Stegostoma tigrinum: one gene and its partners. The protein of the gene in region 3 binds, or shares a complex with, the protein of the main gene of each other region. Links are inferred from orthologs where the notes say so. Each region holds a gene or a part of one and is shown on either strand. Other genes may lie near its edges. The genes, in order: pfdn6, pdrg1, uxt and pfdn2.

The links.
Region 1: uxt (region 3) and pfdn6 share a complex: the UniProt entries of both Homo sapiens proteins name them as parts of the PAQosome complex. The link is inferred for Stegostoma tigrinum from reciprocal best matches to the Homo sapiens genes UXT and PFDN6.
Region 2: uxt (region 3) and pdrg1 share a complex: the UniProt entries of both Homo sapiens proteins name them as parts of the PAQosome complex. The link is inferred for Stegostoma tigrinum from reciprocal best matches to the Homo sapiens genes UXT and PDRG1.
Region 4: uxt (region 3) and pfdn2 share a complex: the UniProt entries of both Homo sapiens proteins name them as parts of the PAQosome complex. The link is inferred for Stegostoma tigrinum from reciprocal best matches to the Homo sapiens genes UXT and PFDN2.

Annotation. Positions count from the first base shown.
Region 1 is NC_081387.1:28,276,634-28,284,198, forward strand, and holds the start of pfdn6 (prefoldin subunit 6), read right to left. Parts: upstream 3,033-7,565; 5' UTR 2,962-3,032; coding exon 2,898-2,961; intron 1-2,897. UniProt on the Homo sapiens protein: Binds specifically to cytosolic chaperonin (c-CPN) and transfers target proteins to it. Binds to nascent polypeptide chain and promotes folding in an environment in which there are many competing pathways for nonnative proteins.
Region 2 is NC_081372.1:55,171,029-55,178,188, forward strand, and holds the start of pdrg1 (p53 and DNA damage-regulated protein 1), read left to right. Parts: upstream 1-4,075; 5' UTR 4,076-4,144; coding exon 4,145-4,231; intron 4,232-7,160. UniProt on the Homo sapiens protein: May play a role in chaperone-mediated protein folding.
Region 3 is NW_026728639.1:9,942-17,638, forward strand, and holds the start of uxt (protein UXT), read left to right. Parts: upstream 1-4,568; 5' UTR 4,569-4,629; coding exon 4,630-4,703; intron 4,704-7,697. Other genes in the region: ER membrane protein complex subunit 3-like, read right to left, coding at 2,946-3,097. UniProt on the Homo sapiens protein: Involved in gene transcription regulation. Acts in concert with the corepressor URI1 to regulate androgen receptor AR-mediated transcription. Together with URI1, associates with chromatin to the NKX3-1 promoter region.
Region 4 is NC_081399.1:9,851,089-9,858,223, reverse strand, and holds the start of pfdn2 (prefoldin subunit 2), read right to left. Parts: upstream 3,142-7,135; 5' UTR 3,115-3,141; coding exon 2,945-3,114; intron 1-2,944. Other genes in the region: nit1 (deaminated glutathione amidase), read left to right, coding at 4,905-4,993, 5,495-5,737. UniProt on the Homo sapiens protein: Binds specifically to cytosolic chaperonin (c-CPN) and transfers target proteins to it. Binds to nascent polypeptide chain and promotes folding in an environment in which there are many competing pathways for nonnative proteins.

The DNA of each region.
Region 1 (7,565 bases), on a different chromosome or scaffold from region 3:
TTAGTCTGTAGGAAGTGGGAGGAGTCAAAAGAGAAGTTGTTGAGTGTGAGGACGAGTTCAGCTAGGCGGATGAGAGTGTCGGTGGAGGGGGCCTGGTCGGGCCTGCGGGACAGGAAGAAGCGGAGGGCCTTGAGGCCACCTCCATGCGGAATGCAGGTGTACAGGGACTGGACGTCCATGGTGAATATGAGGTGTTGGGGGCCAGGGAATTGGAAGTCCTGGAGGAGGTGGAGGGCGTGGGTGGTGTCACGGACGTAGGTGGCGAGTTCCTGGACCAAAGGGGAGAAAATGGAGTCCAGATAGGTGAGATGAGTTCGGCGGGGCAGGTACAGGCTGAGACGATGGGTCGACCAGGGCAGGCAGGTTTGTGGATTTTGGGAAGGAGATAGAAACGGGCCGTGCGGGGTTGGGGAACAATGAGGTTGGAGGCTGTGGGTGGGAGGTCCCCTGAGGTGATGAGGTCATGAATGGTGTTGGAGATGATGGTTTGGTTCTCGGGGGTGGGGTCATGATCGAGGAGGCGGTAGGAGGTGGTGTCGGAGAGTTGGCGTCTGGCCTCGGCGATGTAGAGGTCAGTGCGCCATACTACCACTGCGCCACCCTTGTCTGCGGGTTTGATGGTGAGGTTGGGGTTGGAGCGGAGGGAGCGGAGGGCTGCCCGTTCTGCGGGGGAGAGGTTGGAGTGGATGAGAGGGGTGGAGAGGTTGAGGCGGTTAATGTCTCGACGGCAGTTGGAGATGAAGAGGTCGAGGGAGGGTAGGAGGCCTGGGGGTGGTGTCCAGGAGGAGGACTTGTGTTGGAAGCGGGTGAAGGGGTCAGTGGAGGGAGGGTTGGGTTCCCGGTTGAAGAAGTAGGCATGGAGGTGAAGACGGTGGAAAAACTGCTCTATGTCCGACCGTGACTGGTATTCGTTGATGTGTGGTTGTAGGGGGACAAAGGTGAGCCCCTTGCTTAGGGCTGACCGTTCGTCCTCAGTCAGTGGGAGGTCTGGGGGGAAGGTGAAGATGCGGCAGGGCTCAGTGTGGCTGTCTCCTCTGGGGTTGCAGGCTGTGGAGGTTGTGGGCGGAGCGATGAGGCCGTCGGCTGTGGGCGGGGTTCCGTCAGCCATGGGCGGGGTTCTGTCAGCCATGGGCGGGGTTTCGACCAGGCCCCCTCCACCGACACCCTCATCCGCCTAGCTGAACTCGTCCTCACACTCAACAACTTCTCTTTTGACTCCTCCCACTTCCTACAGACTAAGGGGGTGGTCATGGGCACCCGCATGGCCCCCAGCTATGCCTGCCTCTTTGTAGGTTACGTGGAACAGTCCCTCTTCTGCACCTACACAGGCCCCAAACCCCACCTCTTCCTCCGGTACATTGATGACTGTATCGGCGCCGCCTCTTGCTCCCCAGAGGAGCTTGAACAGTTCATCCACTTCACCAACATCTTCCACCCCAACCTTCAGTTCACCTGGGCCCTCTCCAGCACATCCCTCACCTTCCTGGACCTCTCAGTCTCCATCTCAGGCAACCAGCTTGTAACTGATGTCCATTTCAAGCCCACCGACTCCCACAGCTACCTAGAATACAGCTCCTCCCACCCACCCTCCTGCAAAAATTCCATCCCCTATTCCCAATCCTCCGCCTCCGCCGCATCTGCTCCCACGATAAGACATTCCACTCCCGCACATCCCAGATGTCCAAGTTCTTCAAGGACCGCAACTTTCCCCCCACGGTGATCGAGAACGCCCTTGACCGCGTCTCCCGCGACACATCCCTCACACCCCGCCCCTGCCACAACCGCCCCAAGAGGATCCCCCTCGTTCTCACACACCACCCCACCAACCTCCGGATACAACGCATCATCCTCCGACACTTCCGCCATATACAATCCGACCCCACCACCCAAGACATTTTTCCATCCCCACCCCTGTCTGCTTTCCGGAGAGACCACTCTCTCCGTGACTCCCTTGTCCGCTCCACACTGCCCTCCAACCCCACCACACCCGGCACCTTCCCCTGCAACCGCAGGAAATGCTACACTTGTCCCCACACCTCCTCCCTCACCCCTATCCCAGGCCCCATGATGACATTCCACATTAAGCAGAGGTTCACCTACACATCTGTCAATGTGGTATACTGCATCCACTGTACCCGGTGCGGCTTCCTCTACATTGGGGAAACCAAGCAGAGGCTTGGAGACCGCTTTGCAGAACACCTCCGCTCAGTTCGTAACATACAACTGCACCTCCCAGTCGCAAACCATTTCCACTCCCCCTCCCATTCTCTTGATGACATGTCCAACATGGGCCTCCTGCACTGCCACAATGATGCCACCCGAAGGTTGCAGGAACAGCAACTCATTCCGCTTGGGAACCCTGCAGCCTAATGGTATCAATGTGGACTTCACCAGTTTCAAAATCTCCCCTTCCCCCACCGCATCCCAAAACCAGCCCAGTTCATCCCCTCCCCCCACTGCACCACACAACCAGCCCAGCTCTTCCCCTCCACCCACTGCATCCCAAAACCAGTCCAACCTGTCTCTGCCTCCCTAACCGGTTCTTCCTCTCACCCATCCCTTCCTCCCACCCCGAACCGCACCTCCATCTCCTACCTACTAACCTCATCCCACCTCCTTGACCTGTCCGTCTTCCCTGGACTGACCTATCCCCTCCCTACCTCCCCACCTACACTCTCTCCACCTATCTTCTTTACTCTCCATCTTCGGTCCGCCTCCCCCTCTCTCCCTATTTATTCCAGAACCCTCACCCCATCCCCCTCTCTGATGAAGGGTCTAGGCCCGAAACGTCAGCTTTTGTGCTCCTGAGATGCTGCTTGTCCTGCTGTGTTCATCCAGCCCCACACTTTATTATCTTGGATTCTCCTGCATCTGCAGTTCCCATTATCTCTGTCTACCTTTCTGTAGCGCCTGGTACTTCTCCAGCTCCTGCTGCAGCTTCCTCTGGATCCCGTCCGCCATTTTTCACCGAACTCTGACCCCCGCCGCCGTGCGACTGACGTCTCGACGCCTGACCCCGCCCCTGACGCTGACATCACCCTTTCCCCGCTGCCGGCTAAGAACATCACCCTGACCCCGCGCCCGGCACAGACATCACTCTGACCCCGCCCCCGGCTGAACATCACCCTGACCCCGCGATAATAAAATGTGAGGCTGGATGAACACAGCAGGCCAAGCAGCATCTCAGGAGCACAAAAGCTGACGTCTCTCTGATGAAGGGTCTAGGCCCGAAACGTCAGCTTTTGTGCTCCTGAGATGCTGCTTGACCTGCTGTGTTCATCCAGCCTCACATTTTATTATCTTGGAATCTCCAGCATCTGCAGTTCCCATTAACCCTGACCCCGCGCCCGGCACAGACATCACTCTGACCCCGCCCCCGGCTGAACGTCACCCTGACCCCGCCCTCGGCTCTACCGTCACCCTGACCCCGCCCCCGACGCTGACATCACCCTTTCCCCGCGCCCGGCACGGACATCACCCTGACCCCGCCCCCGGCTCAACGTCACCCTGACCCCGCCCTCGGCTGAAACGTCACCCTGACCCCGCCCCCGGCTCGAACGTCGCCCTGACCCCGCCCCCCAGTGCATCCCTTTACACCGCCCCCTGCTGTTAGCCACTGACAGCCCCCAGTAATAATTACTCACCCTCCCGGCCTGATCATTACCAGCTCCTTTGCCTGTCCAGCTACTCTCTCTCTTTGGGCTCTATCCCCCCCTGCTCCCCCCGCCACCCTGTCTTCTGCATATAAACTAACATGTTCTTGGCCACCATCAGTTCTGTGGGAGGGTGGACCCGAAGCGTTAACTCTGATTTCTCTCCACAGATGCTGCCAGACCTGCTGAGCTTTTCCACCAACATCTGCTTTTATTTCCTGTCGGGTTTGCCCGGGAATCCTGTATGTTCCGATAAGGTCACCTCTCGTTCCAAGCTCCGATCAGTAGGGGCTCAAACTACCCAACGTCTCCTCAACCCAGGGTCAGACGTGTGAACCTTATCTGGGGCTGTCTCCAGTGGCAAGACCCTGTGAACCATGGCAGCTCCACACCGCCTTCAGGCAAAGCTCCTGCAGAACCCACTGATTGACTGATTGATTTGTTGTCACGTGTGCCTGAGTACAGTGAAAAGCCTTGTTTCTTAGCAGTACCAGCTAGATTGTAGTAAGCAAAGGGTGTACAGATCTAACAACATTTCAACCAACTGGATTCCAAAGAGCATCTCTGCCGCTGGATCCTGGTCTCCCAACTCCGTGATGGTCAGCCCTCATCGAATCAGAGAACCTTGGTTGCAGAAAAAGGGCCTATCGAGCCTGTAACTCTCTGTTTTCTATGAGTTGGTCAATCCTCTATTCATGCTCACATCACCATTGTCAGCAACTACTCGCTATCAGATTTGGTGGGGGTGGTGTGTGTCTGATTGTCCCCGTAAGAAATTCTGTGTCACTGGTCATGGGTCTGTGGTTCCTTGTGTGGCCAATGGGCCTGATCCTAGGGTTGCATCTCCAAATATACATTTGGCAGGTGTTTCCAGGAGATGGGATTGGCCTTTGGCATTTCTTTCTTCAGCTCCTTTTCTGTATTTCCGCTTACCTACATGTGCTTTCTGAGGATTGTGTCCCTTCACATAGGAGTTTCCTCCATTCAGTTTCTTCTGAATGAGGGTCTTCCACATGATAACATTTATGTTGCATTTCTTGAGGCATCTTGGGAAGTCTTTGAAATGCTTCCTTTGCCCTCCTCTTGTTCGTGTGCCTTTCTTGAACTGCGTGAAGATGATTTACTGTAGTAGTCGAAACTCAGACTTCCTAAGTAAGTGGCCAGCCCAGCGGAGTTGGTTTTGGATGACCATGGCCTCTGGTGCTGTTAGCTGCTTCAAGGACATTCATGTTAGTACGTCTGTCCTCAAAATACACAGAATCAATCTCAAACAGTGTTGGCGGTGCTTCTCAAAAGCTTTGAGAGTCTACACATAGTCGACTCTGAGCCATTATAGAAAAGTTAGAAGGGTGATTGCCTTAAATATCTCTTGGTATCAGTATGGATGTCATGGTCATCGAAGACTCTAATCCTTAGATGTGCCAAGGCGATACTCACAGATTGGATGTGGTGTTGGATCGCCGTATCAATGTCAGCCTTAGATGTGACTTAGCTTTCCAAGTAAAGGAAATGTTCCATTTTGATACAATTTTTCCATTGATCTAAATGGTGGGATGGACCAGAATTTTGCCTTGGGAAGGGCTGCTAGGAGACTTTTGAGTCTCCTAAAGGTTGACGCTGACACCAATTCATTGGTATGATTCCACTAAGACATTACGAGAGGCTTGAAAATTCTCTTCCGAGACAGCAGAGATGAGATTGTCGTCTTCATGCTGAAGTTCGACAAGCAAGTTGTAATATTTTCAACAGACAATAGGTGCTGGAGTAGGCCATTCGGCCCTTCGAGCCAGCACCACCATTCATTATGATCATGGCTGATCACCCAGTTTGGTGTCATATCCTTCTTAAATTTCAACTGACTGAGGTTGTCTATCCTGTAGACAATGTCCGCATTACTGAGAAGTTTGTTCTTAATAAGGTGAAGATTGGTAATGATGAAGATGAAGAAAATGGCAGCAGTGATGATAGACAGTAGGAACTGCAGATGCTGGAGAATCCGAGATAACAAGGTGTAGAGCTGGATGAACACAGCAGGCCAAGCAGCATCTTAGGAGCAGGAAAGCTGACGTTTCAGGCCTGATGAAGGGTCTAGGCCTGAAACGTCAGCTTTCCTGCTCCTATGATGCTGCTTGGCCTGCTGTGTTCATCCAGCTCCACACCTTGTTATCTAGCAGTGATGATATCCTGTTTGACTTCGAAGGCCACTTTTGGAATACAGCGTTTGATTCTGGTCTCCCTGGTACAGGGATGATATTGTAAAACTGGGAAGGGTTCAGAAAAGATTTAGAAGGCTGTTGGACAGCACGATGGTTCACTGGTTAGCGCTGCTGCCTCACAGCTCCAGGGACACAGGTTCGACCCCACCCTCGGGCGACTGTCTGTGTGGAGTTTGCACATTCTCCCCGTGTCTGTGTGGGTTTCCTCTGGGTGCTCTGGTCTCCTCCCACAGTCCAAAGATGTGCAAACTAGCTGGATTGGCCATGCTAAATTACCTTGTAGTGCCAAGGATGTGTAGATTAGGTGGATTAGCCACAGGAAATGTAGATTTACAGGGGTAGGATAGTGGAATGGGTCTGGGTCAGATGCTCTTTGGAGGTTCAGTGTGGAATTATTGGGCCAAATGGCTTTTTTCCACACTGTAGGGATTCCATGGATTTGCAGGGTTGGAGGGTTTGAGCTTTAGGGAGAGGGTGAATAGGGTGGGCCTACTTTCCCTGGAACTGAGGGGTGACCTTATAGAGGTTTATAAAATTATGAGGGGCATGAATAGGGTGAATAGAGAGGGTGAATATCGAAGAGCATATAGGGTTAAGGTGAGATGGGAAATATTTAAAAGGGAGCTGAGGGGTAACTTTTTCCCACAGAGGGAGGTGCGTGTATGGAATGAGCTGCCAGAGGAAGTGGTGGGGGCTGGTACAGTTACAACATTTAACAGGCACCTGGATGGGTATATGGATAGGAAGGGTTTGGGGGGATAGGGGCCAAATGCTGGGGAAAGGGATTGGATTAATGTAGAAAATCTGGCTGGCATGGATGGGTTGGATGGAAGGATCTGTTTCCGTGCTGTATCGCACTATGACTCCATTCTCTCAGGTTACCATCAGTGGGGACTGTTTCTCACATCTTGTTGTGGAGGAGACAGAGGATGTTGATGAACTTCACTGGACAGTGTCTTTCTGAACAGTTCCCCATGAATGTAGCGTCCCCAGCACCGAGGGTGCGTCTACCTCATCAAGCACTCTCTGCTTCTTCTCCTGTCCTGCTCAAGGAATTCTAATCTATCTGACAGAGCATCATTACACCTTTCATGAAACCATGTGTTCTGCACAGTCATATTATTCAATGCTAAATGCTCTGCTGTTTATTATCAGCTGGAACATTTTCTCCATTTGGAGTACAAATGGGAAGTGCTGGAGAAACTCAGCAGGTCCGGTAGAATTCAGACAGAGAGAAAAACACAGAGTTGACATTTCGGGTCCAGTGAACCTTCGCCTGAGCTGACAGAGCTGGGGAATGGTGGCACTTATGTCGGGGGATGGGAGTCAAGTATAGAATAAAGTGAATCAGCGTTCCCCCTTCTGCTCCTCTGTCTTATAGTCTTTTCTTCATAGTCTGGCATTTGTGTGGTGTGAATGTCACTTCTTGCTTCTCATTCCAGGCCTTGTTGCACTTGGACACGGACTGTTTCAGTATCTGAGGAGCAGCTGAACATTGTATAATCGTCAGCGAACATCCCCACTTCTGACCTTATGATGGAGGGAAGGTCATTGATGAAGATGGTTGGGCCGAGGACACTGCCCTGAGGAACTCCTGCAGAGATGTCCTGGAACTGAGATGACTGACCCCCAACAACCACCTTCCTCAGTGTCAGGTCTGACTCCAACCACCGGAGAGTTTGTCCCCGATACCCAT
Region 2 (7,160 bases), on a different chromosome or scaffold from region 3:
AATGCTGCGGAGGGCTGGCTGTGAGGATACAGCTCTGCAACTATTAGCGAGACACTGCTCTGCAGCTCCCGGCTCACATTAGCGAAGCGCCCCCTTCGACCACAGCTTTTATAAAGTGTCCGTACCTGTGCACTCTGGGAGATGTAGTCGCCTTGCAGCACGTACTATGAGCTAAACATAACAATTTAAGAAACTGGAACCGGAGTAGATTACTTCAGCCTCTCGAGCCAGCTGTGCTATTGACTACGATCATGGATGATCTACTTATTCATATTCCATCTCCCATACTCTTCCAATATCCTTCGATTCCTTGAGTACACAGTAATCTATGGATCTCTGACGAATCTTGGACTAAGCACACATCCTCCTTGGGGTAAAGAATTTCAAAGATTAATAACCCTTTGAAGGAATACATTTCTCCTGATCTCAGTCTTAATTGTCCCACCCCTTATTTGAAAGCTATGTAGACACATCCAAGTCAGAGAAAAATCATTTCAGCAGCTATCATATCAGTTCATTTTAAGATTGCGTATGTTTTAATGGATCACTTCTCATAATTCTACATTCTAAGCAGTATGGACCAAATCAATCTTTCCATATAACACTCAAGATATGGTTCTCGCTAAGGCTTTTACAACTGCAGAATGAAACAGGCAAAGGATAATACCTTATATTTGTAATTGTACACCAAATTAAGCAGTGTAGTTAAACTAAAGGGGGACTGCAATGAAATAAAGGAACTTGAAGAATAGATATATGATTAACAAATGAAGGTTAGCACAGATAAGTGTGAGATGCAACAACACAAGCATACATCAGAAAATGCAAGTTAGTCAGGATTAGGGCCCTCAATCTGTTTTGTCATTTTACAAGATCATGACTGATCTGATTGTTGCCCTAATTCCCCTTAACTGTTTGCTCCCAAAACCATTTAATTCTTTTGCTCTTAAGAATGTTTCCACCTTGGCCTTAAAAATGTTCAAAAGATCCAGCCTCCACCATTCTATAGGGAAGAGTTTCACATGCCCATAATGCTCAAGTATTTTATAAAAGTTCCTCTTCATCTCCATCTTTGGAAACACGTCCCCTAGTTCTCTCTGACACAGGGAAATATCCATTCAGAATCCACCTGTTAAGTTCCCTTAGGATGTTAGCTATTTCAATAAGATTACCTCTCGGTTTTCTAAACTCCTATGGACGCCTCTGACAGAGTTCAACCTTTCCTTATATGGTGACACCTCATCCCAGATCTGAGTTGAATGGGTTTTCTTATCAGAATTGCTTCTAGTATAATGCTGACAGGTTTCTTAAATAAGGAGACAAAAACTTCATACTTTATCCAGATGCATTCCTTCCAAAGCCTGGTAGGAAGAATTGAACATGTCAGTCTGGGGGAGGCAATGGTCTAGTGGTATTTATCCCTGGAATGTTTCTCCAGACACCCAGATAATGTTCTAGGGACCCAAGTTCAAATCTCACCATGGCAGATGGTGGAATTTGAATTCAATAAAAATATCTAGAATTAGGAATCTAATTGCAGATTGTCATTGAAAACCCAACTGGTTCAAGATGTCCTTTAGGGAAGAAAACTGCCCTCCTAGGCCTGAAACGTCAGCTTTCCTGCTCCTAAGATGCTGCTTGGCCTGCTGTCTTCATCCAGCTCCAAACTTTGTTATCACGGAATCTCCAGCATCTGCAGTTCCTATTATCTCTACTATCCTTACCTGGTCCGGTCATGTGATTCCAGACCCACAGCAATGTGGTTGACTCTGAACTGCTCTCTGGGCAATTAGGGATGGGCAATGAATGCTGCCTAGCCAGCGAATGCCCTCATCCCATTAATGAATAATAACAAAATTACAAATGCACAAATCACTAAAGTTAGGCCATAGGTTAGCAAGGTGATAAAAGAAGAAAATCAAACATGAGTCTTTATTTCAAGAGGTATAATATTGAAAAGTTGGAAAGGTTATTTGAAACCCTTATTGAACATTGATAAGTATAAGACAGCATCTTTTAGGATGAGGAATAGAGAGAGTACATATTGCCTGGAAACAAGAAAAGAGTGTTCACTGGATTGGAGAGCAGAGGCTTTGGAGTTATAGACAGACACATTTTTGACATTATTAATACAGATTAATAAATCCACAACAGCACAAACCAAGCACAGGAGTTTGTTTCATAAGGGATAAAATTGAAAAGCAGAGATATAACATTCTTTATGAAGATTTGTTGAAATTTAGTTAAATTGCGATTGGGAATACTGTGAACAGTTCTGCTTTCCATATTATAAAAATAATATAAAGGTACCAAGCATATAAAGGCAAATAAAGATTAACAAGTGTAACACCTGAACTGAGGTAATGTCATACAAAGGATTTACAGACACTGAATAAAATGTTAAAAAGATTTACACAAATAATACCAGAGCTGAGCATTTATATCTGTCAGCAGTCATTGAATGTGTAGATTTTCTTCCGCGAGAAAAAAGACCTTGAGGTTTTTAAGTTATGAAAGGGAAGTCATAGAGATGATAAACTCCAGTTGCAGCAGAATGTATGATCATCCAAATAAATTAAATAAGGTTAGAATCTTAGAGTCATACAGCACAGAAACAGACCCTTCAGCCCAACTCGTCCATGTTCACCAGGTTCCTAGATTGAACTAGTCCCATTTGCTTATGTCAGGTCTGTATTCCTCTAAACCTTTCCTATCCATATACCTGTTCAAACGTCTTTTAAATGTTGTAATTTTGCATGCCAGTTCCTCTGACAGCCCGTTCCAAATCTGCAGCACCCTCTGTGTGGAATAGTTGCCCGTCAGGTCCCTTTTGAATCTTTCCTCTCTCATCTTAGACGTTTGCCCCCTATTTTTGGACTCCTCTACCTGGTGAAAAGACCTTGGCTATTCACCCTATCAATGCACCTTACGATTTTATAAACCTCTATAAGGCCACCACTTAACCTCCTTTGGCCAGGGAGAAATAAAGTTCCAGCCTCTACTTATAACTCAAACCCTCCAGTGCTGGACTTCAAACGTTAACAATGTTGCTATAATTTCTCCAGCGTTCTCTGCGTGTAAGAATTCAGGATTCACTTTTTCATCCAGAGAGAGTGGTCAAAACGAGGAAGGTACTGCCACATAGGATGGTTAAAGTGACGAAGAGGAAGCCAGAGAAACACTTAGAACAGAAAAGGAGAAAAGGACTGAACCTAAATAGTGGGCTGGATCAGAGATAATGGGAACTGCAGATGCTGGAGAATTCCAAGATAATAAAATGTGAGGCTGGATGAACACAGCAGGCCAAGCAGCATCTCAGGAGCACAAAAGCTGACGTTTCAGGCCTAGACCCTTCATCAGAGAGGGGGATGGGGAGAGGGAGCTGGAATAAATAGGGAGAGAGGGGGAGGCGGACCGAAGATGGAGAGTAAAGAAGATAGGTGGAGAGAGTATAGGTGGGGAGGTAGGGAGGGGACAGGTCAGTCCAGGGAAGACGGACAGGTCAAGGAGGTGGGATGAGGTTAGTAGGTAGCTGGGGGTGCGGCTTGGTGTGGGAGGAAGGGATGGGTGAGAGGAAGAACCGGTTAGGGAGGCAGAGACAGGTTGGACTGGTTTTGGGATGCAGTAGGTGGGGGGGAAGAGCTGGGCTGGTTGTGTCGTGCAGTGGGGGGAGGGGACGAACTGGGCCTCATCCCACCTCCTTGACCTGTCCGTCTTCCCTGGACTGACCTATCCCCTCCCTACCTCCCCACCTATACTCTCTCCACCTATCTTCTTTACTCTCCATCTTCGGTCCGCCTCCCCCTCTCTCCCTATTTATTCCAGCTCCCTCTCCCCATCCCCCTCTCTGATGAAGGGTCTAGGCCCGAAACGTCAGCTTTTGTGCTCCTGAGATGCTGCTTGGCCTGCTGTGTTCATCCAGCTTCACATTTTATTATTATAGTGGGCTGGATCGTTTGGAAGAAGCCCAGAAAGGACTTCAATTCCCAGGATGCTGCGCGGTTGAGTCTCGTCACAAAAGATACCGTTGATTGGCAGTATATTCACCAATCACACGGGGAACTGGGCAGCGCCAATGAAACGGGTGGAGCTCTGTTGATTGACAGCTCGGGCGGAGACGGTTAGAAGTTGGTTCAGGGTGAAGATGGCGCGGAAGCCGGAGGAGGAGGTGGTGAACTATCTGACTGAGGTGGAGGAGCTGGCGGAGAGTTTGCTGGCTGATAAACAGCAGGTACAATGGCGGCCTGTGTTTCGGGTTGGGTTGGCGTGGATCGTCGGCGCTGAAACGTTCGTTGTTGACCATGCCTATACTGCGCTTACTACTGGACCTGGCACCAAGTGTCCCTGCCGGGTATAGGGCCATCATCAAATGTGTTTGTGTTAAATGTCAGCCTACCCAGGGACTTAGACCTAGTTCAGGATTTTCTTAAGGTTACCATGTAGGTTCAATTTGCAGTTAGGAAGGCTAATGCAATGCTAGCAGTCTGTGTAGTATAGTAATTTGTTGTCACTTGTATTTGGGAAAATACAGGTGAGAAGTGTTTAAGTTGCCATGTTCTGGTTACCATTTTTAATGACAAAATATTAAAAAAGAAATGTTAAGATAGATAGAAAGATGCACCATGTCAATAGATTACTCAACTCAAGTATCAGAGTAAAAGGGTCAAGGACTTAGAGAAATATTTCTCACCAGAAAAACATAATGCATTGGATAATGGGAGCAACCTTGACTAATTTCTACCCTTCCTAAATGAGGGTCTTGTAAGGGTAGTTGCAAACCTTTCTACTTCTGGAAGAGCAGAGATGTACTGTTGAGGCTGTGTGGGGCCCTAGTGAGACCACATTTGTAATATTGTTAACAGTTGAGGGCCTGCAATCTAAGGATGTGCTGGCATTGGAGGGGCCCAGAGGAAGTTTCCAAGAATGATCCAAGAGATGAAAGGCTTGTTATGTGAAGAGTGGTCTGAACTCAATTGATTAGAACGATGACATGTGAATTTTATTGAAACATGTAGAATGCTGAGAAGTCTGGAAAGACTGAACATGGAGAAGGTGTTTCCACTAGTAGGAGTAGACTAGGACTCTAACGCACACTCTTGAACTGAAATGAGGAGGATTTCTTCAGCCAGAGATTTATTTAATCTGTGGAATTCACTTCTGCAGAAGGTTGTGATGGCCAAATCATAGAGTGTATTTAAGACAAATAGCTAGGTTCTTGATTGTTAAGGGGATCAAGGGTTATAGTGAGAAAGCAGGAGAATGGTGAGAAATATATCAGCCATGATCAAATCACTGAGCAGACTCTGTGGGCCGAGTGGCCTAATTCTGTTCCTGTATCTTATGTTCTGAGGCATGAGCATTTGAAAGGATTTGGCAGAAACCTAGTTTAGTCGTTTACCGCTAAATGAAGCTGGACCAGATAAGCTCCTATCTGGTCCTGCTGTTTTCTGAAAGTTGCTTACTCCAGGATAATCTTGGAGATAATAGATAACACCTGGCTTTTTCCTCTACTGTAACCAGTTTCCGCAGCTTTCAACTGCAGTGATTACCACAAATTTATGGATATTTCATCACTAAGTTTGAGATCATCTGATCACCTACCTCTGCCACTTTTTCTTTCTTTGAGACAAACTGGAACAGATGCTCTTCCATACCCAAGCCCTGTTATTTCTTCCTTCCCCACCTTCTCTCCTGTCTCCTATCATGGCCTGACCAAACTCAACTTGGCCATGAGACCAACCTGTTCTTGAACTGCTCCAGCGTAAAGGTGGCTAAATCCCCAGGACCTGACCAGATGTACCGTAGAACATTTTGGGAAGCTAGAGAAGTGATTGCTGGGCCCCTTTCTGAGATATTTATATCATGAATAGCCTCAGATGAGGTGTTGGAAGACTGGAGATTAGCTATTTGAAGAAGGTGGTAAGGAAAAGTCAGGGAGCTATAGATCAGTGAGAAGAAACACAGAGGAGCAGGATTTAGATGTATTTGGATAGGCAAGGACTGATTAGGATGTTTAACATGGCTTTGTGTGTGGAAAGTGTGTCTAACCTAACTTGATTGAATTTTTTTTGAAGAAGTAAAGAACAGGAATGATGAAGGCAGAGTGGTGAACATGATCTATGTGGACTTCATTAAGACGTTCAACAAAGTTTTACATCGTAGGCTGGCTAACAGTGTTAGATCATATGGAATGCAGGAAGAACTAGCCATTTGGATACAGAACTGGCTCAAAGGTAGAGGACAGTGGGTGGTGGTGGAGGGTTGCTTTTCAAACTGGAGGCCAGTAACCAGTGGTGTGCCACAAGGATCAGTGCTGAGTCCACTGCTTTTTGTCATTTGTATGAATGATTTGGATGTGAACGTAGGCATGGTTATTAAATTTGCAGATGATGCCAAAATACGTGGTGTACACTGAAGAAGGTTACCTGGGAGTACGATGGAATCTTGATCAGATGGGCTGGTGGGATAAGGAGCAGCAGGTACAGTTTAATTTAGATAAATGTGAGGAGTTTGGAAAGGCAAGTTGGGCAGGGGTTACAAACTAAGTGGTAAGGTCCTGGCGAGTGTTGTTGAGCAAAGAGACTTTGGAGTCATGTTTCATAGTTCTTGAAAGTGGAGTCACAGGTAGATGGGATAGTGAATGTGGCGTTTGATGTGGTTGCCTTTATTGGTCAATGCATTGAGTATAGGATTTGGAAAGTCATGTGGCTGTATAGGGCATTGGTTAGCCGCTATTGGAATACTGCCTGCAATTCTAGTCTCCCTGCTATAGGTAAGATGTTGTCAAACTTGAAAGGGTTTAGAAAAGATTTACAAGCTTCTTGCCAGGGCTGGAGGGTTTGAGCTATAGGAAGAGGCTGAATAGGCTGAGGCTACTTTCCCTGGAACATCAGAGGTTGAGGGGTGACGTTATAAAGGTTCATAAAATCATGATAGTGTGAGTAGACAAGGTTTTTCCCTAGACTGGGGCTTTCCAAAACTAGAGGGCATAAGTTTAAGGTGAGAAGGGACATATCTAAAAGGATGTTCTGAAGAAGTATCACTGGATTTGAAATGATGATTCTAATTTCTCTTCACAGATGCTGCCAGACCTGCTGAGTTCATCCAGCAATTTCAGGTTTTTTTTCCAGATTTCCAGCATCCACAGTTTTTCATTTTAT
Region 3 (7,697 bases):
CCCACTCGGGGAGAGCGCGGCCCACTCGGGGAGAGCGCGGCCCACTCGGGGAGAGCGCGGCCCACTCGGGGAGAGCGCGGCCCACTCGGGGAGAGCGCGGCCCACTCGGGGATAAGGCGGTTCACTCGGTGAGATCGCGGCTCACTCGGGGATAAGGAGGTTCACTCGGGGAGAGCGCGGCTCACTCGGGGATAAGGCGGTTCACTCGGGGAGAGCGCGGCCCACTCGGGGAGAGCGCGGCCCACTCGGGGAGAGCGCGGCCCACTCGGGGAGAGCGCGGCCCACTCGGGGAGAGCGCGGCCCACTCGGGGAGAGCGCGGCCCACTCGGGGAGAGCGCGGCCCACTCGGGGAGAGCGCGGCCCACTCCGGGGAGAGCGCGGCTCACTCCGGGGAGAGCGCGGCTCACTCCGGGGAGAGCGCGGCTCACTCGGGGAGAAGCGGCTCGCTCCGGGATAAGGCGGCTCACTCGGGGAGAGCGCGGCTCACTCGGGGATAAGGCGGCTCACTCGGGGATAAGGCGGCTCACTCGGGGAGAGCGCGGCTCACTCGGGGAGAGCGCGGCTCACTCGGGGAGAGCGCGGCTCGCTCCGGGATAAGGCGGCTCACTCGGGGAGAGCGCAGCTCACTCGGGGATTAGGCGGCTCACTCGGGGAGAGCGCGGCTCGCTCCGGGATAAGGCAGTTCACTCGGGGATAAGGCGGCTCACTCGGGGAGAGCACAGCTCACTCGGGGATTAGGCGGCTCACTCGGGGAGAGCGCGGCTCGCTCCGGGATAAGGCAGTTCACTCGGGGATAAGGCGGTTCACTCGGTGAGATCGCGGCTCACTCGGGGATAAGGCGGTTCACTCGGTGAGATCGCGGCTCACTCGGGGATAAGGCGGTTCACTCGGTGAGATCGCGGCTCACTCGGGGATAAGGCAGTTCACTCGGGGATAAGGCGGTTCACTCGGTGAGATCGCGGCTCACTCGGGGATAAGGCGGTTCACTCGGGGAGAGCGCGGCTCACTCGGGGATAAGGCGGCTCACTCGGAGAGAGTGCAGCTCACTCGGGGATAAGGCGGCTCACTCCGGGATGAGCGCGGCTCCCTCCGGGAGAGCGCGGCTCACTCGGGGAGGGCGCGGCTCACCCGGGGAGGGCGCGGCTCACTCGGGGAGAGCGCGGCTCACTCCGGGATAAGGCGGCTCACTCCGGGATAAGGCGGCTCACTCCGGGAGAGCGCGGCTCACTCGGGGATAAGGCGGCTCACTCCGGGATAAGGCGGCTCACTCCGGGAGAGCGCGGCTCACTCCAGGATAAGGCAGCTCACTCCGGGATAAGGCGGCTCACTCTGGGATAAGGCGGCTCACTCCGGGAGAGCGCGGCTCACTCGGGGATAAGGCGGCTCACTCCGGGATAAGGCGGCTCACTCCGGGAGAACGCGGCTCACTCCGGGATAAGGCGGCTCACTCCGGGATAAGGCAGCTCACTCCGGGATAAGGCGGCTCACTCCGGGATAAGGCTGTGCACCGTCTTATCGCAGATTCTCCAGCATCTGCAGCCCCCGTTATCTCTGGTTAACTCTGATCCTGGGTGACCGCAGTCTCGGTGAGTGTGTGTCGACCAGGTTTGAGACGGACCGGGCTCGCCTCCATCGGGATGGCGCGTACAGGCGGGACTGCGCCGCTGTTGAGTGCGAGAGCGCGCCGGTTACTATCGCGGCGAGGCTGGGGGGGGGGCGGGGGGGGGTGGAAACGGGCCCTGTCGCTGTCGGCCGGTGTTAGAGCCACGGTGGGGGTGGGGGCCGTCGCTGTCGGCCGGTGTTAGAGCCGCGGTGGGGGCCGTCGCTGTCGGCCGGTGTTAGAGCCGCGGTGGGGGTGGGGGCCGTCGCTGTCGGCCGGTGTTAGAGCCGCGGTGGGGGTGGGGGCCGTCGCTGTCGGCCGGTGTTAGAGCCGCGGTGGGGGTGGGGGCCGTCGCTGTCGGCCGGTGTTAGAGCCGCGGTGGGGGTGGGGGCCGTCGCTGTCGGCCGGTGTTAGAGCCGCGGTGGGGGTGGGGGCCGTCGCTGTCGGCCGGTGTTAGAGCCGCGGTGGGGGTGGGGGCCGTCGCTGTCGGCCGGTGTTAGAGCCGCGGTGGGGGTGGGGGCCGTCGCTGTCGGCCGGTGTTAGAGCCGCGGTGGGGGTGGGGGCCGTCGCTGTCGGCCGGTGTTAGAGCCGCGGTGGGGGTGGGGGCCGTCGCTGTCGGCCGGTGTTAGAGCCGCGGTGGGGGTGGGGGCCGTCGCTGTCGGCCGGTGTTAGAGCCGCGGTGGGGGTGGGGGCCGTCGCTGTCGGCCGGTGTTAGAGCCGCGGTGGGGGTGGGGGCCGTCGCTGTCGGCCGGTGTTAGAGCCGCGGTGGGGGTGGGGGCCGTCGCTGTCGGCCGGTGTTAGAGCCGCGGTGGGGGTGGGGGCCGTCGCTGTCGGCCGGTGTTAGAGCCGCGGTGGGGGTGGGGGCCGTCGCTGTCGGCCGGTGTTAGAGCCGCGGTGGGGGTGGGGGCCGTCGCTGTCGGCCGGTGTTAGAGCCGCGGTGGGGGGGGGGGGCCGTCGCTGTCGGCCGGTGTTAGAGCCGCGGTGGGGGTGGGGGCCGTCGCTGTCGGCCGGTGTTAGAGCCGCGGTGGGGGTGGGGGCCGTCGCTGTCGGCCGGTGTTAGAGCCGCGGTGGGGGTGGGGGCCGTCGCTGTCGGCCGGTGTTAGAGCCGCGGTGGGGGTGGGGGCCGTCGCTGTCGGCCGGTGTTAGAGCCGCGGTGGGGGTGGGGGCCGTCGCTGTCGGCCGGTGTTAGAGCCGCGGTGGGGGTGGGGGCCGTCGCTGTCGGCCGGTGTTAGAGCCGCGGTGGGGGTGGGGGCCGTCGCTGTCGGCCGGTGTTAGAGCCGCGGTGGGGGTGGGGGCCGTCGCTGTCGGCCGGTGTTAGAGCCGCGGTGGGGGGGGAGGGGGGGACCTGTCCGAGAGCTGCTCCAGCTCCGCTCTCCTCTCCCCCCGCAGCAGGCGACCGAGGTAATGGCGGATCAGGCCGAGGGAGACGCTCATCAGGACGATGGGGAGAACCACCCAGAGGCGGATACTTGAGTCGAGGAGCAGGAGCTCAGCCATGGCCGGGCAAGTGGTGGGGGGGGGGGGGGGGGGGTCTGGGTCTTGAAGCCTGGGGCTTTGGGAAGTGGGGGGAGTAGGCCTTGAAGCCTGGGGCTTTAGTGGGGGGGGACTAGGCCTTGAAGCCTGGGGCTTTATTGGGGGGGACTAGGCCAGGAAGCCTGGGGCTTTGGGAAGGGGGGAGACTAGGCCTTGAAGCCTGGGGCTTTAGTGGGTGGGACTAGGCCGGGAAGCCTGGGGCTTTGGGAAGGGGGGGACTAGGCCTTGAAGCCTGGGGCTTTAGTGGGGGGGACTAGGCCTTGAAGACTGGGGCTTTGGGAAGAGGGGGACTAGGCCTTGAAGCCTGGGGCTTTAATCGGGGGACTAGGCCTTGAAGCCTGAGGCTTTAGTTGGGGGGACTAGGCCTTGAAGACTGGGGCTTTGGAAACAGGGGGACTAGGCCTTGAAGCCTGGGGCTTTAGTGGGAGGGACTAGGCCCTTGAAGCCTGGGGCTTTGGGAAGAGGGGGACTAGGCCTTGAAGCCTGGGGCTTTAGTGGGGGGGGAACTAGGCCTTGAAGCCTGGGGCTTTAGTGGGAGGGACTAGGCCCTTGAAGCCTGGGGCTTTGGGAAGAGGGGGACTAGGCCTTGAAGCCTGGGGCTTTAGTGGGGGGGGGAAACTAGGCCTTGAAGCCTGGGGCTTTAGTGGGAGGGACTAGGCCTTGAAGCCTGGGGCTTTGGGAAGAGGGGGACTAGGCCTTGAAGCCTGGGGCTTTAGTGGGGGGGGGAAACTAGGCCTTGAAGCCTGGGGCTTTAGTGGGAGGGACTAGGCCTTGAAGCCTGGGGCTTTAGTCGGGGAGGGGGGACTAGGCCTGAAAAGCCTGGGGTTTAGGCCCGGGGCCTGGAGATGGAGCGACGGTTAGAAACCGATTCAAGTTGTCACCCCTGACCCGGTAGTGAACGTCTGTGTTTTCCCGCCTTTGATGGACGGCGGCGATAAAAGTAATGAATTTATTTTAATTTTGTTTCTGTTCGAAAACGGTTTCGACCTTTATTTGTTTTTCGTTGCAAAGAGAAATATTTCCAGAAGTTTTTATTTCTTTTTAACAGGGCGAACCAATCGTCTCGCCGTTGCCGTGCCGACTCCGGCCAATCGGCGCCCGTGTCTCATTCGTCCTTCACAGTTCGGCCGTTAGAATGAGATCTTACAAAAAGTGGGACAACCCCAGCTCCGACCAATCGGAAGCGAGGAGCTGTTGTTTACCCCCGGTCGTCATTGGTCCGCAAGCGACCAATGAGAGACTGCTTATGTGGCCCCCATCCCCAGCCACGCGTCGTCCTGAGACCAATCCGAAAAGCGGAGCCGGGGTTTGCGGGCGGCCATTGCGACCAATTAGAGGCCGGTGCGCTCGGGCTGCGCATCACCATTGGCCTGCATCTGACCAATCAACGGTGCGGAGAGGTGGACCTCGCTCTTTATTGGTCCGTTAGCAGTCACTCAGAGGTGTTTGCACAGGCCGGGGCCAATCGGCTGCGTTTGTGTCACGGCGGCGCAGTAATGGCTGAGGGAGCAGGGCGGAAGGTTCTGGAATATGAGGCTTTTGTCAATGACGTCTTAAAGAGAGACCTGAAGTGAGTGGGGGTCAGGGGTCAGTGGGAATCTAGGGGTTCGGGGGCGTCACTGGGAGATGGGCCACGTGACTGTTGTTCCAGTCACATGGCAGAGTCTGGGGTCACGTGTACTCAGACCGTGGTCACGTGTCTATCTCGGACCGGGGTCACGCGTCCCTCTGGGGGCGGGGTCACGTGTATATCTCAGACTTGGGGTCACATGACCCTCTGGGGCCGGGGTCACGTGTCTATCTCAGACTTGGGGTCACATGACCCTCTGGGACCATGGGTCACGTGTCTATCTCAGACTTGGGGTCACATGACCCTGTGGGACCGGAGTCACGTGTCTATCTCAGACTTGGGGTCACATGACCCTGTGGGACCGGAGTCACGTGTCTATCTTAGACTTGGGGTCACATGACCCTGTGGGCCGGGGCAACGCGACCCTCTGGGGCCGGGGCAACGCGTCCACCTGGGACCGGGGCAACGTGACCCTCTGGGACCGGGGCAACGCGACCCTCTGGGACCGGGGCAACGCGACCCTCTGGGGCCGGGGCAACGTGACCCTCTGGGACCGGGGCAACGCGACCCTCTGGGGCCGGGGCAACGCGACCCTCTGGGACCGGGGCAACGCGACCCTCTGGGGCCGGGGCAACGCGACCCTCTGGGTCCGGGGCAACGCGACCCTCTGGGACCGGGGCAACGCGACCCTCTGGGGCCGGGGCAACGCGTCCACCTGGGACCGGGGCAACGTGACCCTGTGGGGCCGGGGCAACGCGTCCACCTGGGGCCGGGGCAACGCGACCCTCTGGGGCCGGGGCAACGCGTCCACCTGGGACCGGGGCAACGTGACCCTCTGGGACCGGGGCAACGCGACCCTCTGGGGCCGGGGCAACGCGACCCTCTGGGACCGGGGCAACGCGACCCTCTGGGACCGGGGCAACGCGACCCTCTGGGGCCGGGGCAACGCGTCCACCTGGGGCCGGGGCAACGCGACCCTCTGGGACCGGGGCAACGCGACCCTCTGGGACCGGGGCAACGCGTCCACCTGGGGCCGGGGCAACGCGACCCTCTGGGACCGGGGCAACGCGTCCACCTGGGGCCGGGGCAACGCGACCCTCTGGGACCGGGGCAACGCGACCCTCTGGGGCCGGGGCAACGCGTCCACCTGGGGCCGGGGCAACGTGACCCTCTGGGACCGGGGCAACGCGACCCTCTGGGACCGGGGCAACGCGACCCTCTGGGACCGGGGCAACGCGACCCTCTGGGGCCGGGGCAACGCGTCCACCTGGGGCCGGGGCAACGCGACCCTCTGGGGCCGGGGCAACGCGACCCTCTGGGGCCGGGGCAACGCGACCCTCTGGGGCCGGGGCAACGCGACCCTCTGGGGCCGGGGCAACGCGACCCTCTGGGGCCGGGGCAACGCGACCCTCTGGGGCCGGGGCAACGCGTCCCTCTGGGACCGGGGCAACGCGTCCACCTGGGACCGGGGCAACGCGACCCTCTGGGGCCGGGGCAACGCGACCCTCTGGGGCCGGGGCAACGCGACCCTCTGGGGCCGGGGCAACGCGACCCTCTGGGACCGGGGCAACGCGACCCTCTGGGGCCGGGGCAACGCGTCCACCTGGGACCGGGGCAACGCGTCCACCTGGGACCGGGGCAACGTGACCCTCTGGGGCCGGGGCAACGCGTCCACCTGGGACCGGGGCAACGCGACCCTCTGGGGCCGGGGCAACGCGTCCACCTGGGGCCGGGGCAACGCGTCCACCTGGGACCGGGGCAACGCGACCCTCTGGGACCGGGGCAACGCGTCCACCTGGGACCGGGGCAACGCGTCCACCTGGGACCGGGGCAACGTGACCCTCTGGGGCCGGGGCAACGCGTCCACCTGGGACCGGGGCAACGCGACCCTCTGGGGCCGGGGCAACGCGTCCACCTGGGACCGGGGCAATGCGACCCTGTGGGACCGGGGCAACGCGTCCACCTGGGACCGGGGCAACGCGACCCTCTGGGACCGGGGCAACGCGACCCTCTGGGACCGGGGCAACGCGACCCTCTGGGGCCGGGGCAACGCGACCCTCTGGGGCCGGGGCAACGCGTCCACCTGGGACCGGGGCAACGCGTCCACCTGGGACCGGGGCAACGCGACCCTCTGGGACCGGGGCAACGCGACCCTCTGGGACCGGGGCAACGCGACCCTCTGGGACCGGGGCAACGCGACCCTCTGGGGCCGGGGCAACGCGTCCACCTGGGACCGGGGCAACGCGTCCACCTGGGACCGGGGCAACGCGACCCTCTGGGGCCGGGGCAACGCGTCCACCTGGGACCGGGGCAACGCGACCCTCTGGGGCCGGGGCAACGCGTCCACCTGGGACCGGGGCAATGCGACCCTGTGGGACCGGGGCAACGCGTCCACCTGGGACCGGGGCAACGTGACCCTCTGGGACCGGGGCAACGTGACCCTCTGGGACCGGGGCAACGCGACCCTCTGGGGCCGGGGCAACGCGACCCTGTGGGACCGGGGCAACGCGACCCTCTGGGGCCGGGGCAACGCGACCCTGTGGGACCGGGGCCACACGTCCACCTGGGACCGGGGCCACGCGTCCACCTGGGACCGGGGCAACGTGACCCTGTAGGACCGGGGCAACGCGACGCTGTGGGACCGGGGCAACGCGACCCTGTGGGACCGGGGCCAGGCGTCCACCTGGGACCAGGACCGGGGCCACGCATCCACCTGGGACCGGGACCGGGGCCACGCGACCCCCTTCAGCCCACGCCCCAGCACCGCCCCCTCCCCAGGACACACACCAGGGAAAGCCCGCAGCGACCGGGCCCAGGGCTGGTGCCAGTATTCTGAGCCTCAGCATCGCTTCTGCAGCCCCCTGAGTGACGTTCTCTGAGGGTCTGCACTGCAAACCCGCCGGGGGGCGGTGGTGGGGGAGAGACGTGACAACGGGGAGCTCCCCTCACCACCCACCATCACCGCGCCACCCCCCCCGCCCCCGCCACCAACGT
Region 4 (7,135 bases), on a different chromosome or scaffold from region 3:
GGCGAAAAAAATCCATTGATTCCAACTCTTTCATTAGCAGACTGGAAACCATTTTCTAACCACCTCAATATGCTCCCATGCCCTTTAAGTTAATATGTTTTATGTGGGACTTTTGTCTGGAAATGCAAATAAACCACATCTACAGACTCCCCCACCCAGGTTAACTCCATCAATCATTACGGGTCGTGGCCATTACAGAAACTTGGGTAACTCCAGGACAGGGATGGTTGTTGGAAGTCCCGGGATTTAGATGCTTTGGAAGAAATAGGGAGTGACATTGCTAGTCAGGGGGAGTATAGCAGCTACTAAAAGGCAGTTCAAGAATGATGTGTCTACAGAGTCAGTTTGGGTTGAGGTCCAGAACAAGAAAGGAGCTGTCATTTTGTTGGGGTTTTTTTTATATAAACAGACCCCTAATAGTTGCAGAGAAGTGGAGGAGCGGATTGGGAGGCAGATACTGGAAAGGTGCAGAAGTCACAGGGTTACAAGTCATGGGTGACTTCAACTTTCCAAATATTGATTGGGAACATGTTAGTTGATAGTTGGGATGGAACGGATTGTGTCCAGTCCATTCAGGAAGGATTCCGGACACGGTAAGTACATACAGCAACATGAGGAGAGGACACTTTAGGTACGGTGCTTGGCAATGAACCGGGCCAAGTGTTAGACCTGTGGGTAGGAGAGCATTTTGGCGATAGCGATCATAACTCTGTTACTTTTACAACAGTCATGGAAAAGAATAGATACGTAAAGCAGGGTTAGGTTTACAATTGGGGCAAGGGTCATTAATTCTGTTAGGCAAGAACTGGGTAACATTAAAGGGGAACAGATGCTGTCAGGGAACAGCACTATTGAAATGCGGAGATTGTTTAAAGAAGGCAGACTGCTTGTGTGCTTGATGTGTTTGTCCCTAGCAGGCAGAGAAGATGCAGTCAAGAGGGGTCAAACGTCTGGTTAAGAGGAAGAAGGAGGCTTATATAAGGTTTAGGAAACAAGGAACGGAAAAGGCTCTAGAGGGATACAAGTTAGCCAGGAAGGGGCTGAAGGAAGGGCTTAGGAGAGCTAAAAGGGTGCATGAGAAAAACCTCAGCAGATAGGATCAAGGAAAACCCCAAGGCTTTTTACACATACGTGAGGAATAAGAGAATAACCAGAGATAGGGCAAGGCCGATCATGGACTGTAAAGGGCATTTGTGCACTGAGCCTTAAGAGATAGGAGAGGTCCTTCATGAATACTTTTCTTCAGTATTCACAACTGAGAGGAACCTAGTTGTAGAGGAAGACATTGTGAAACAGGCTGGTAGACTAGAGGAAGTCGATGTCAGTAAGGAAGATATGCTAGGAATTTTGAGGAAGTTGAAGACAGATAAGTCCCCCGGGTCTGATGGGATTCATCCAACGATTCTATGGGAAGTGAGGGACAAGATTGCAGGGCCTTTGGCAATGATCTTTTCGTCCTCACTGTCCATGGGTATACTGCCGGAAGACTGGAGAGAGACGAACATTGTTCCCCTGTTCTAAAAACAGAATAAGGATAACCCTGGAAATTACAGGCTAATTAGTCTTACTTCAATGGTGGGTAAATTATTGGAACGGACTCGGAGATAGGATTCACAATCACTCGGAAAGACAGTTTGATTTGTGATAGTCAGCATGGGTTTGTGAGGGGCAGATCATGCCTCACAAACCTTATTGAATTGTTTGAAGAGGTGACCAAACTCGTGGATGAAGGTGGAGCAGTGGATGTGGTATACATGGATTTAAGTAAGGCATTAGATAAGGATCCCCGTAATAGGCTCATGCAGAAGGTAAGGAGGCATGGGATAGGGGGTAATGTGGCAGATTGTATTCAGAACTGGCTGACCCTTAGAAGGCAAAGGGTGGTAGTGGATGGAAAACATTCAACATGGTGTTCAGTTACGAGTGGTGTACCACAAGGATCTATCCTGGGTCCTCTTCTATTTGTGGTTTTTGTAAATGATTTGGATGAAGGAGTGGAAGGGTGGATTAGTAAGTTCACGGACGATATGAAGGTGGGTTGTGTTGTGGATAGTGCGGAGGACTGTCCTCGGTTACAAAGGGGCATTAATAGGATGCAGAGCTGGGCTGAGAAGTGGCAGATGGAGTTTAACTCTGAAAAGTGAGAGATGACTCATTTTGGAAGGGCAAGCTTGAGAGCAGAATACAGGGTTAACAGAAAGGTTCTTGGCAGTGTGGAGGAGCAGAGGGATCTTGGGGTTCATGTCCACAGTTCCCTGAAAGCTGCCACCCAGGTGGATAGAGTTGTTAAGAAGGTGTACGGTGTGTGAGCTTTCAGTAATAGAGGGATTGAGAACCGTGAAGTTATGCTCCAGCTATACAAAAGCCTGGTTCAGCCACATCTGGAGTATGGTGTCCAGTTCTGGTTGCCTCATTACAGGGAAAGATGTGGAAGTGTTGGAAAAGGTGCAGAGGAGATTTGCCAGGATGTTGTCTGGAATGGAGGGAAGGTCTTACGAGGAAAGGTTGAGAGAGCTAGGGCTTTTCTCTTTAGAGCAACGAAGGATGAGAGGTGATTGACAGAGGTGTACAAAATGATCGGAGATATAGATAGAGTGGACAGCCAGACACTTTTTCCTAGGGTGGAGGTAGCTATGATGAGGGGACATAGATTTAAAGTGAGTGGAGGTAGATATAGGGGTGACATCAGAGGGAGGTTCTTTACTCAGAGAGTGGTCGGAGAGGGGAGTAGAGTCGGCCTCATTAGGGGCATTTAAGCGGCTATTAGACAGGTATATGGATGGAAGTATAAGGTAGGGGTGGAGGTTAGGTAGACCTTAGGATTAGGGTAAAAGTTGGGCACAACATCATGGGCCAAGGGCCTGTGCCATTTATATATAATCAAACCCCGACCCGCCCACCCACCCAACCCTTTCCATTCTCTCTTCCCTCCCCGTCCCGTTACCCGTGCTCCGCCACCTCCTGCTCCAGCTCGGCCCCTTTGCCCGCCAGGCCGCGCTGCTCCTGCCGCAGTTTGTTGAAGCCGGCCAGCACCTGCTCGGGTGTGGGGGCGGCGGCCTGGGCCTGTTGGGCCCGGCCTCCCGACAGCATCCCTACCGCGCCGGGTCCCTCCATCCCACCACTGGAGAGGGGCGGGGCCCTCCGGCCTCCTTTTATAGAGACGGTGGGTGGTGCCCGCGGATACCGCCTGACTGGGCTTTCACATCAACAGCGGGAGGGAAGTCAACCAGTTACATATAAAAAAAACGCAGCGTAAACAAAACCCCGCCGACACACCGAAATAAATCAATAAACCGTGAACCGGCTCTCAATTTCACATCCAACCCCTTTTCACGCCGATCATTTTGTGAAGCCGTCTTTTTTCTGCGCCCCCCCCCTCCAGAAAAAACTTCGGCGAAATTTTCCCTGAATGTTGTAGCATTGTGGGAATGGTGTTCGGGCCGAGTTTGTCCTCCCCCTCCCCTCAAAGGTGTGTCCATATCTGACAGCAGGCAGGTAGATAGGCGGCTAATTCAGCGTCAGGCCCCCTGAGCGGGTTTCCACGGACACTGGGCGCAGGGGCATGTTCTCTCTCAGCCTCCGCGTGACGTTGGCTGCTTGGTAACCGCCCCCTCCCATCATTCCCTATCCCATCATTCCCTATCCCCTTATCCCCCCACTTCCCATCATCCCCCCTCCCATCATCCCCTTCCCAACATTCCCCTCATCCCAATTCCCATCATTCCCCCGTCCCCTTCCCATCGTTCCCTATCCCCTTATCCCCCTACTTCCCATCATTCCCTATCCCCCCACTTCCCATCGTCCCCCTTCCCATCATTCCCTATCCCCTTATTCCCCCATCCCCTTCCCATCATTCCCTATCCCCTCATTCCCCCCATCCCCTTCCCAACATTCCCCCATCCCAATTCCCATCATCCCTGTGTGAAAGGGTTAGGATTAGGATTAGGATTAGGGTTGGGTAATCCCTGATCCCAGTAACCACCCCTTCCCCATTCTATCATCATGTGCCCCCAGTAACTGTCCCCCTTTTACCCCCTTTCCCATCATCCCCTTATCCCCAAACTTCCCATCATCCCCATCCCCCTATCACCCCCCCATCATCCTTATCCCCCATCCCCCCCTTTCCATCGTCACCCCCATCCCCTTATACCGCCTTCCCATCGTTCCCCCATCCCCTTATCCCGCCTTCCCATTGTCTCCCATCCCTCAACCCCATGTATCCCACTTCCCATCATCCCCCAACCCTTTATCCACTTCACTTCCCATCATCCCCCATATACCCCACTTCCCATCATCCCCCAACCCTTTATCCACTTCACTTCCTATCATGCCCCATATACCCCACTTCCCATCATCCCCCAACCGTTTATCCACTTCACTTCCCATCATCCCCCATCCCCTTAACCCAACTTCCCGTCACCCCCATCCCCTTATACTCCCTTCCCATCATCCCCCAGTGATCTCTCCTCCTGCATTACCCCAATTTCCTTTATCCTCCCCATCATCTGCCCTCCCACAGTAACCACCCCTCCCCTTTACCCTGATTCCCATCATCCCCTACCCCCTTTATCTCAGACCCGAGTAATCACCCCTCTCCCTTTACCCCCATTCCCATCAACCCCTACCCCCTTAATCCCTGATCCATTCCATCAGCATACACCCCCAGTAACTGCCCCCCCATTCCCATTATCCCTCTTCCCAACATCACCAACCCCACAGCCTACACCCCCATCCCTCACATCTCCTAGCCTTCACAAGCCCTCCCCAGCCACACATCCCCCTACCCCACACATGCAAAATCCCATCCCCCCAATCTCCATCCCTCACATCCCTCCCCTCCCCATCACTTATTCCCCCTCCGCTAACCCCCCTTCGCTTCCTGAGCTCTGCCTGTGTGCTTCCCAATGACCAGAGGACAGGGACACCCAGGACCCTTTTGTGCATCGAGCTTTCCTGGTCTATCAATGCTTAACTCAGACTCTGTGATTCTGGGGTTTGTTTAAACCCTTACCAAAGCTGACAATTTGCCCTTTCTCTGTGTGACGGTACTTGTATTTGTCCACTCGCTAAATTGCCCTGTAACCTCCTCACTGCTCACAGCCCCCACCCAGTTCTCACACTGGATTCCTTGCTGCAAATTACTGATGTTAGTTGTGGATAGTTCGGGGCCGGCTGCTCAGGCTGGCAGTATTGACCGTTCCCACTCTGCGAGCGACCCATTTGTTCCTACGCTCTTGTTTCCCTGTTGCTCTTTCTCGGGTAGATGAGGTGGTGGGTGTTGGTGAGGAAGGACTGGGCGCCGGAAGGAACGTGGGAGCGGCTCGCTGAGAGTGCCTGGGAGTCGAAAGTATCCCAGTTTGGCAACGTCTTTTCCCGTCTGCAAGTTTGCGGTTGATGTCTTTTCTTGAGGAATGTTGGAAGCTGGTTTGAAGGAGGTTCGAGGGAAGGTGTGTCTCTATGCGACACTCACTCTCTCTCTCTCTGTCTTGGACAGGTTGCGAGGGATGGCGACGCTGAAGAGGAGTTTGATTGGAGTGTGCCAGCTGAACAGCACGGGGGACAAGGAGAGAAATTTTGCTGAGTGTCAGGCGCTGGTGAGGGAGGGGGCAGAGCGAGGGGCCAAGTTCCTCTTCCTCCCTGAAGCCTTTGATTATGTTGCCTCATCTCAGGAGCAGACACTCAGCCAGGCAGAGACCCTGGAGGGCGATCTCATCCAACGGTATTTCCGCATGGCCAGGTACCCGTGCTCCCTCGCACCTCTCCCTTTCCTGCCTCTGACGCCACTCTTCCTTCTTACCCTCACTCTCTTCCCCCACGTTGACCACCTTCCAGTGTCTCTGAAGGTGTCTCTCCCCCGTCCATTTTCCTCTCAAGGAGGAAGTTTTCTCCTTCGCATGTTAGAGTTTTATTTTGTATCGCGCAATCACCAAGCTGCAGCAGCTTGCCCAGAAGTCAATCAGAAAATTGCTACAATGGTGAGCGTTGCAGTTGGTCCTGGTTCACAATCATTCAAAAGTCTGTCACTGATTATACAATAAATGGAAAAGTCCTGGGGAAAATTGATGAACAGAGAGATCTGGGTGTTCAGGTCCATCGTTCCCTGAAGGTGACAACGCAGGTCAATAGGGTGATCAAGAAGGCATATGGCATGCTTTCCTTCATTGGCCGGGGTATTGAGTACGAGTTGGCAGGTCATGTTGCAGTTGTATAGGACTGTGGTTCGGCCACATTTGGAGTACTGTGTACAGTTCTGGTCACCACATTATCAAAAGGATGTGGATGCTTTGGAGAGGGTGCAAGGGTGGTTCACCAGGATGTTGCCTGGTATGGAGGGTGCTCGCTATGAAGAGAGGTTGAATAGATTAGGATTATTTTCATTAGAAAGACGGAGATTGAGGGGGGACCTGATTGAGGTCTACAAAATCATGATGGGTATAGACAGGGTGGATAGCAAAAAGCTTTTTCCCAGAGTGGGGGACTCAATTACTAGGGGTCATGAGTTCAAAGTGAGAGGAGGAAAGTTTAAGGGAGATATGCCTGGAAAGTTCTTCACACAGAGGCTGGTGGGCGCCTGGAACACGTTGCCAGCCGAGGTGGTAGAGGTGGACACGATACCATCTTTTAAGATGTATCTAGACAGGTACATGGATGGGCAGAGAGCAAATGGACACAGACTGTTAGAAAATAGATGTCGGGTTAGACAGAGGATCTTGATCGGCGCAGGCTTGGAGGGCCGAAGGGCCTGTTTCTGTGCTGTAGGTTTCTTTGAGTAAACCTGCCCTGAGCACCCACACACGCTCACTCACTCACAAAGCAGAGGTGTTGAACACTCTCCGTCACTAGCGATAATGGGAACTGCAGACGCTGGGGAATCCGACATAACACGGTGTGAAGCTGGATGAACACAGCAGGCCAAGCAGCATCCCAGGAGCACAAAAGCTGACGTTTCGGGCCTAGACCCTTCAATCAGAGAGGCTGTCTGATGAAAGGTTTAGGCCCGAAACGTCAGCTTTCCTGCTCCTCTGATGCTGCTTGGCCTGCTGTGTTCATCCAGCCGCACACTTTGTTGACTCCCTGTCACTATTTGAGCGAGATAACTGAATTTGGAGCACAATATGAGTTGCAGTAACATACC